Linked DNA regions of Daphnia pulex. Each later gene encodes a partner of the first gene's protein in a complex. Links are inferred from orthologs where the notes say so. Each region holds a gene or a part of one and is shown on either strand. Other genes may lie near its edges. The genes, in order: AP-2 complex subunit mu and P2X purinoceptor 4-like.

Region 1 (4,493 bases):
AAAAATTACATATGGAACAACCTACAGTGACCCATCAATCTCCACCTCTGGCACCCCCGCCTGCGCCGCCTACCACCACAACAACTAACGATCTTCAGCAGATGTCGACGCCTAAAGGAGCTACCATGGCCACATGCGAGGGATGTGGAAAAATGGATTTCATTTCCAAATTTCGTCGTTCAAAACGCTTTTGTTCCACAGCCTGCTCGAAAAAGTATGTCATTAACCCATTTATCTTTTGACTCTTTTAATTTTAACCGTGTTTGTTTACTTTTGAAATAGGTCTAACATAAATGCTTCGCCAGCAGTTGGACCCGTTCAGCCGAATCAACAGCAGCAGCAGCAGCAGGAAACTGTCTCGACAACGACTTGTGTCAACGGTCAGGGAGTAAAAGCAGCCGTTGGCGGTGGTGGTGGGCTACTGACCACTGCGACGTCAACCACTCACTCACCCGCTGCTGCTTCAACAACAGCCGAAGCCAACAACAAATTGGCTTCTCCAACGGCCGTGACAATTCCTCAGGGCCCAACTCCTCCAACGAGCTTTGCTCCCTCTGGAGATAAAGAAGATATCAGCTTGGATGCAGAGTTGTGTGCTCTGGCTGCTCAGCAATTGCGTTCTCCCACAGCCTCACTATCTCAAACACCAACTCACCAGCTCAAACCTGAGCCGAAAACTAATCCAGCCAAGTGGAGTGTAAGTTATTTATTGTTACGACTTAGATTGCACTGATAATTAAGACTTCTATTCATTCAGGTTACCGAGGTCGCGGATTTCGTGCGAAGTTTAACTGGATGTGCAGATTATGCCGAAGATTTCGCATTGCAGGAAATTGATGGCCAAGCGCTCATGTTATTGAAAGCCGATCATTTGATGTCTGCCATGTCGATGAAACTTGGGCCGGCATTGAAGATTTGCGCCAAGATTGATGCTATGCGTGGTGCATCCTCCTCTGAGGGCGGTAATAGCAATCCACAAAACGGAAATTAATGTGGGAAAAGTTCAATCCCCCATTTTTGTGTTGTTCTCCACCAGAAATCGATACGTGTTATGTTTGCCTCATTCAACTGTAATTTGACTCATTGTACTTTTCTGTCTATAGTTTGTTTATGGTTCACGATATGTTTCTTCGTCATTTCTCTCTACGTATTTTGCTTTGGTTATTCACCTTCATTACAGTAATTCTCATTTCGTATGACACATAGATCGTCAGTGAACAAATATATATATATAGATCATTCATACAAAATGTAATGCTCGGTGTAACAAAAGGCATTTAGGACAAAAATGCCATATAACCGCATATAACATTTTCGGAACGAAGAATTTTCGTTTTCAGTGTAATAAATTGACATTGTAATAATAATTTAAATATACATAAAAATCCATTGAATCAAACGTATTTCGTATTATTTTTAATGGTATATTTTTAAAAAATGCTTGAATCAGTCGAATTCTTGAAAATGATTTTAACCTTGAAAGTTCTACTTCCACCCGAGTATTTCAAATGTGGCGCTCCGAGCGCTTTACGGACTTCAGCTGTTTGGCCTGTGATATGGATTGACTTTCTTTCTTGTTAGCACTGTGTTACTGTCATTTCACTCTGACAGTACAAGTCTGCTATCAAACCAAATTGAATACTTATCCACAGTGGGAGAAATTGGGCTGGTAACAGTTACTTTGAGGTAAGAGGTTATGTTTTTTTCGTTGGTGTGGTTTTGAATTATGATGTTTAAAGCGACACAAGACCGTGATCTTCAGGAACGGTGGTTGTGTGTTGGGTAATGCGAAAGTTTATTGGTAGGCGTTGCTCGATATATCAGCTAGTCTACCGGTATTGAGACGGGATATCCTGTGAAGGCAATCAAAAGAACTCGTGCATGCATGGCAAAAAGATAATTCAACATTTCAACAAAAAGTTGCATAGCTTCATTTGCATACTCTAGTTCACAGAGCAAACCATCTACCAAAGAGTTCTTATGGACTTGTATACATGCTAAATGTCATTCTGCACGTTTGAAAAAAAAGTGTTATTTTCTTCATTCATAGGTTTATCACAAAGCTTCAAGAGTCAAGATGATTGGAGGCCTTTTCATCTACAATCACAAAGGAGAGGTCCTAATATCACGTGTGTACCGTGATGACATTGGCAGAAATGCAGTTGATGCTTTCCGAGTAAATGTCATCCATGCTAGGCAGCAAGTCAGATCACCTGTTACAAACATTGCCAGAACCTCCTTCTTCCATGTTAAGGTATTTTCTGATTTGCCATTTTGAAATGTTTTAATGTTCTCAGGATCAATAATCCTTTACCTTTTTTTAGCGTGCTAATATTTGGGTGGCAGCTGTCACCAAACAAAATGTCAATGCCTCTATGGTTTTCGAGTTTCTCTTGAAGGTCACTGACTGCATGCAGTCATACTTTGGTAAGGTATCAGAGGAAAACATCAAGAACAATTTTGTCCTCATTTACGAACTTTTGGATGGTATGTTGGGAAGCAAACACAATTTATTTGTTTGTGTGTTGTTCCTTATCCAATTTATTCATTCTATCAGAGATTCTTGATTTTGGCTATCCCCAAAATACCGACACGGGAGTGTTGAAGACGTTTATTACTCAGCAAGGTATTCGCACGCAAACCAAAGAAGAGCAGGCCCAGATTACCTCTCAGGTATAGATTCGCTCAAACAATTAATGCTCAATGATTGTTTTTAAAATATAATCATGTGGTTATGATTTCCAGGTGACAGGCCAAATCGGCTGGCGACGCGAAGGCATCAAGTACCGGCGAAACGAACTCTTCCTTGACGTATTGGAATACGTCAACCTTCTAATGTCGCCGCAGGGTCAAGTACTTTCAGCTCACGTGGCTGGCAAAGTAGTGATGAAATCCTACTTGTCAGGCATGCCCGAATGCAAGTTTGGAATCAACGATAAGATTATCATGGAGGCTAAGGGTAAACCTACTGCGGATGAATCCGCTGCTCGCACTGGCAAGACAGCTATTGTGATTGACGACTGTCAATTTCACCAGTGTGTCAAGTTGTCTAAATTCGAAACGGAGCATTCGATTAGCTTTATTCCCCCTGACGGAGAGTTTGAACTCATGAGGTTAGTCTGTTCTCCTTTGGTATATACATTGAATTTATGCTAACAAGTGTTATTTTCGATTGCAGGTACCGAACGACCAAGGACATTTCGTTACCTTTCCGAGTTATACCGTTGGTGCGCGAAGTGGGCCGGACAAAGATGGAAGTCAAAGTGGTTGTCAAGTCTAACTTCAAACCTTCGCTCCTGGCACAGAAAATCGAGATACGCATTCCAACGCCTCTCAATACATCGGGCGTTCAACTTTTGTGCATGAAAGGCAAAGCCAAGTACAAAGCTTCTGAGAACGCCATCGTTTGGAAGTCAGTTGCAAACTTTTCTTTAGATCAAACATTAGAGCTGTGTTGTTAAACTTGTGTGGTGTTGATGTTGACAGGATCAAACGGATGGGAGGTATGAAGGAATCACAACTTTCAGCTGAAATTGAGCTTTTGCAAACGGACACGAAAAAGAAGTGGACTCGACCCCCCATTTCCATGAACTTTGAGGTATTTTCGAGGATGATGTGTGTCGTGCATATCGATTGCTCTAATTTGGATTTCTATCATAGGTTCCGTTTGCACCATCGGGCTTTAAAGTTCGATATTTGAAAGTCTTTGAACCCAAGTTGAACTATTCTGATCACGACGTCATCAAATGGGTTCGCTACATCGGACGCAGCGGCCTCTACGAAACGCGTTGCTGAAGAAACGGACGATTCATTTTCGTTGGAAGATGAAGAAACTCGTCTCCAATTCTATTTCTCCTCTTCATGATTAACCCATCACTTACTACTCGTCCGAAAGAAGAAAAAAAAAGAAGAAAGATCTTTGTTAGTCTGTCTTATACTTAGGTCGATGTCGTTGTTGCATCTGCTGAGCGGTGCGAGAGAGTGGATGAATCCTGCTAATGGGAAAAGTAGCTCTGTCTGTTAAGTTTCTTTCATCCAGGATCAAAATTCTGTTTAGTTTAATATTCAAAAGCTTGTACTTCTCTCATCTACTTCTTTTCTCTTCCTTTTATTTTTTTTCATCCGTGTTGAGTGTTGAGTACGTCGTCGGAATTATTTTTCCTTCCCATCTATATCATTGTTAGTGCGCAGAGAGCGAAATTAACCCCCTTCTCCCCCTACCCCCAAAAAAAGAAAAAAAATATCCACAGAATAGTCGTCTTGACTGGATTGCGTTGTTACTGCTTGGATTAGCAGTTCGCGTTCTCTCTCTCTCTTTTTCTCTCTCTGTTTGTGCGCGTGATTTATATGTTACATGTTTTGATTTACCCAGTTTTTTTTTGTGTCTGTGCACATTACATTAGGGATGAGTAACTGAGCCTCCACCGTGGCTGTCACTTGAGTTGCTTGTTTTCTATCCTCTTCGTTTGTGAAGGGTGAGCCAGAAGCGAAAT
Region 2 (4,522 bases), on another chromosome or scaffold:
GAGAAGACTCAACGTTTTTAGGTGTAGCGCGTATCCTTGGTGTAGCATCGATCGAAAATGGCCCTACTGAAATCTTTGCAGACGCGGCACTCGTCGCCCGCAGCCGTCTTGAGGGCAAACGGTCGTATCATCTTTTCAATGCGATCGAATATGTAATCCATGTTTCTTGGCCAGCACGTCTTGTACACATTGGTCACCAAATCATCGTGCATTTTACTCAGTTCCGTTTCCCAGAAAATGGGAACGAGGTGATTGGCGGATGGCGGCTCATCTGGATAAAGCTGACCCACCAAGTTGTTTGACATTGCGCACCTAATGTACTCATAGCGGTCGTTGCAGAATGAACAGATTGTCGTGTGCAATGGCCTGCCATTGAGTGAACTTCCGCATCGATGGAAATGCCCTAACATGGCAAATTGCTCGACCGTCTTGTACAGCAAAGTTGTGACGACTTCCAGTCGGTTGGGTGAATGCGGCGGATAAAGATTGATCAAGTCGACCACTCTTTGATTTTCGTAAAAGGCGCTTCGGAAGGCTTGGATAGACGGTTCAGTTGTTGTGGTCATTGGACATTCCGGCGGCGCACATCCACCGTTTGGACAATTGGTTGCAGTGGAATCCCAGCAATCGGTTCTAGACGGCCAGACTTGAGGTGTGCACGGTGGCTTTGACTGAGGGATGCAAGCGTCTGGATCTTTGATGCAGTCAAACGGACAGATGTTGTCGACGGGGCAAATGCCGGTTATTACAGCGACGTTGATTGCACTATTACTTGGAGTAAATCCTTCGATTGCAATTTTTTCATTTCCGTACGCAGAGTAGACCATGACTCCAGTGATCATCATCAAACCGGCATAAACAATTAAAATTAGAGTTAGAACCACTACGCCAGGTACTGGGTCCTGGGTTCTGTTACCGGAGGTCGAAGGCTGAGTCTCATCGTCTGTATCGTTTTCATCTTCGTTTTCGTCAAAATCTTGAGTAGTATTGGCTTCTTCGACATTTTCAGCAGTTCTCAATCGATTCATAGTTTCGTAAAAAATAGATGGACGAATCAATTTAAAATCATGAAAAATTTAAAGTTACAACTGTAACGGAACAGTTATATAAGCTCAGGTCGCAGAATTAGTGATTGCAAGTACTTTTTGCGACAGTTTTTCGGATAATGCAACTTTTATCATTGCTTTAACTGTTTAATTTATTCAAAATCGTAATTGTGTTCTTTTAACACATATATTTCATCATAGAAAAACACTATAAGTATTTTATAGAATTTTGTACAAAGTATTTTTATCATTACATCAGATAAAGACCACTGTGGTTACATCCTGGTGTTTCCCGGGAGGCCGGGTTATTGAATTCGTTTCAGGTACCGAATCGTCCGCGAGCCAGTACTAAATGTACCATCATGTAATGTGTAATAATTTTTTTTTTTTATTCTTTCTACAAAATAATAAATCCTAAATGTTTGAGAACATTTGATGTTTTTGCTAAAAAACCTAATGGAAAACCTGTATCCCATTGAAGTAAAACTTGGCAACAGCGTTAGTATAATCCAATTTTAAATACAGACGAAATTCAGTCAGTGTCAGACTGTGAGTGTCATCTCACTCAGTTTATTCAAAATTTGATATCTATTGGCAGATTATATTTTGCAACTGAAAATTGTACAAATTATAGATTAGATAGTTCATTTCCGTGTTCGCCAAGCACATCTTCATGTTTTTACATTCACATTTGACTAAAGTTCAGTTCTTGCTTCTTACTTTTGACATGAGTTGACATTTCCATTAAATCTCACAGTAGTAAAACGTGCCATTATTGGTATACAGAGTTTCTAGCCGAAATTCATGCCTTTTTAATACATAAGATTGTAAATTCCAAAGTTGCAACAGTTTCAATGACCTGCATTCAAAGTTTGATTTATATCCCACTCGATCAGTAAACATTTGTAATTTTTGCAGAATGGGCTGTTTCAAACCATTTTCTAATTTTCTATTTTGGTATGAAACACCAAAAGTAGTACATATTCGAAGTAAAAAGGTTGGAATACTGGGAAGATTTCTGCAGCTGTGTGTCCTTTCATACATTGTCGGGTAAAGCTTACTTTTGTAAAAATTCTAATTCCAGCAATCCATTAAAATTGTACTATTTTCCCCATTACAGATATGTTATGGTTTACAATAAAGGTTACCAAGAGTTTGCTAATGTTGAAAGTGCAGTTGTAACGAAAGTAAAAGGTGTTGCATTCACGAATACCAACAAAAACATTCCTGACATCTACAGAAGAATTTGGGATACTTCTGACTTGATTATACCTCCATCCGAAAATGACGCATTTTTCATCACAACGAATATTATCATTACACCAAATCAAACTAGGGGAGCCTGCAGTGAGGTGCTCAATGCTTTATCTTAAACTTGTGTATATTTTATTTAAAAAAATTGTGTATTTACAGGACCCAGATGTGTATGGAGCATTATGCGATTCACCACAGAATTGCATAAGGGGGCAATCTTTGCCGATCGGAAATGGAGCCATGACTGGGCGTTGCATTCCAAGTGATGCTAACTCAAGTGTTAACGTCTGTGAAATATTTGCCTGGTGTCCTATTGAACAAGATATTTTTCCTTTGTATGCAAACATTCAAATGTTTGTGAATCAGTTTATATGTTTGATTTTTAATTTTATTCATTCCTTACAGGGGAACAGATCGTCCATTGCTTGAAGAAACTGCCGATTTTACAGTTTTGATTAAAAACTTCATCGAATTTCCAACGGTATGTTATATTTGTTGCATACGTACGTCTTTTGTTTATTCTGACAATTACAATTATTTTTACAACAAGTTTGGGAAAACATTTCGTCGACGAAACATCATGGAAGATGCTAACAAAACCTATCTCCAGTCTTGTCATTATAATCAAGAAAGAGATCCCTTCTGCCCTGTGTTCCGAATAGAAGATATAGTCTCGTTTGCGGGAGAAAATTTTACACAACTAGCAATCCGCGGGGGAGTTATCGTCATCTCCATCGACTGGAATTGCAATCTTGATTTAGATTTTCTTGAATTTTGCAAACCTATTTACAGTTTCAGAAGAGCTGATGATCCAAATACCAACATCGCTCCTGGCTGGAATTTTAGGTAAGATATGTGAAACAATTTTTAATAATTTCAGAATATTCGAGATACCAACAACAGCAAAACGAAGTTTACTCTCTTTTGTGTTCATATTTAAACTGACAACCTTTTTCTTTATTTAAAATAAGACACGCCAATTATCACGAAGAGAACCGGCGAACGCTAGTCAAATCTTACGGTATTCGCTTCGTTATTGAGGTCCGAGGTCAGGGTAGGAAATTTAACATTCTTCCAACTATGTTGAATATTGGATCTGGACTAGCCCTTCTTGGAGTGGTAACAATTTTTTAATTTTTAAATGTAAAGTGGCTTTATAACACAGCATTATTCATACAGACAACTGTGGTTTGCGACTTCATCATTTTATATTTTACCAAAAAGCGCATGTTTTACAAAGGAGTAAAATACTTGCTGGTTGACGGCGAAGATCCAGAGGTAAATAAAAAGCTCTGTTTTTTTGTTTTCTAAATTTAACAAATCTGATTTTCTTCTTGACTTCTTCGCTTTACTTAACTTAGAGAGCACCACTTCAAACGGAAGCGGGAATGACAACTTATGGGAGCAATTGAAATAATATGCCTTACCTATTTTACATTCCGAATAATTTTCACATACTTTAAACAGAAGTTACTATTCTTTTAAGGGATCTAGTCAGAAATTCATGTTATTTTTAGCTGAATTCTAATATGAACCATATTTTTAAAACATACACAGGATACTAATATAATCTTTTAAACTAAATTGTTTCATAATCCTAACATGTTTTCCTGCAGTGCGAAGTTTGACTTTTCCTGAACTGGGTCTTAGTTCCGTGTGTTGTATTGTATATTTAATACTGGAAGATTGACGGATTGAGCTGCTTACCTTCACTTAAAGAACTTGATTTCCAAATTTATTAGACAAAATAACTGAAACAATTTTCATTCGTCATACATTAAACAAAAGAAAAATTTAATTGTTTACTAATGTAATCCAGATGTTCGTTTGGAATTTCTTCTGTTAATAGTAAGTTGATGAAGGCTCAAGACTCGCTTGTTTCAACGGCGACCGCCGGTTATATCCTTTCCAAGACAGATGTTAAGGAAGAAATTAACCAAGGCACGTCTAGGAATGTAACCGCACATATAGGGCGATGGAGACGGAATTGCAGAAGCCCAACTTCCACCAGAACCAGGTGCTTCTTTCAACATGCAGGTCCCACCTTTTAGGCCGGCGATGTGCGTAAAGTGGCTGCATTTCCTGTCGACGGCACAGCGAGATGAGCAATCAAATACTGTTTCTATACAAGTCAAAGTATAGAGTTCGTGGTCGCAGAAATCGCAATTGGTGCCGTATGTAACAGATGGAAGATTTGGGAATTTATTCGTTTTCGGCATATG

What was found.
Region 2: the proteins of AP-2 complex subunit mu (region 1) and P2X purinoceptor 4-like are in contact, whole or in part, in a crystal structure (PDB 2BP5), measured with the Rattus norvegicus proteins. The link is inferred for Daphnia pulex from reciprocal best matches to the Homo sapiens genes AP2M1 and P2RX4. Residues at the interface, in NP_446289.1 of Rattus norvegicus: Phe174, Leu175, Asp176, Lys203, Asn217, Leu316, Ala317, Gln318, Lys319, Glu391, Val392, Pro393, Lys400, Val401, Arg402, Tyr403, Leu404, Ile419, Lys420, Trp421, Val422, Arg423, Tyr424, Ile425; in NP_113782.2 of Rattus norvegicus: Val375, Glu376, Asp377, Tyr378, Glu379, Gln380, Gly381, Leu382, Ser383, Gly384.

Annotation. Positions count from the first base shown.
Region 1 is NC_060028.1:9,468,425-9,472,917, reverse strand, and holds AP-2 complex subunit mu, read left to right. Parts: upstream 1-1,527; 5' UTR 1,528-1,686; intron 1,687-2,050; 5' UTR 2,051-2,077; coding exon 2,078-2,254; intron 2,255-2,324; coding exon 2,325-2,487; intron 2,488-2,557; coding exon 2,558-2,673; intron 2,674-2,745; coding exon 2,746-3,113; intron 3,114-3,178; coding exon 3,179-3,412; intron 3,413-3,486; coding exon 3,487-3,598; intron 3,599-3,660; coding exon 3,661-3,795; 3' UTR 3,796-4,417; downstream 4,418-4,493. Other genes in the region: polyhomeotic-proximal chromatin protein-like, read left to right, coding at 1-214, 283-697, 758-991.
Region 2 is NC_060017.1:6,889,006-6,893,527, forward strand, and holds P2X purinoceptor 4-like, read left to right. Parts: upstream 1-1,572; 5' UTR 1,573-1,595; intron 1,596-1,964; 5' UTR 1,965-1,965; coding exon 1,966-2,096; intron 2,097-2,166; coding exon 2,167-2,398; intron 2,399-2,459; coding exon 2,460-2,635; intron 2,636-2,705; coding exon 2,706-2,781; intron 2,782-2,850; coding exon 2,851-3,146; intron 3,147-3,271; coding exon 3,272-3,419; intron 3,420-3,479; coding exon 3,480-3,578; intron 3,579-3,661; coding exon 3,662-3,712; 3' UTR 3,713-3,884; downstream 3,885-4,522. Other genes in the region: uncharacterized protein LOC124196542, read right to left, coding at 4,181-4,522. UniProt on the Homo sapiens protein: ATP-gated nonselective transmembrane cation channel permeable to potassium, sodium and calcium. CTP, but not GTP or UTP, functions as a weak affinity agonist for P2RX4.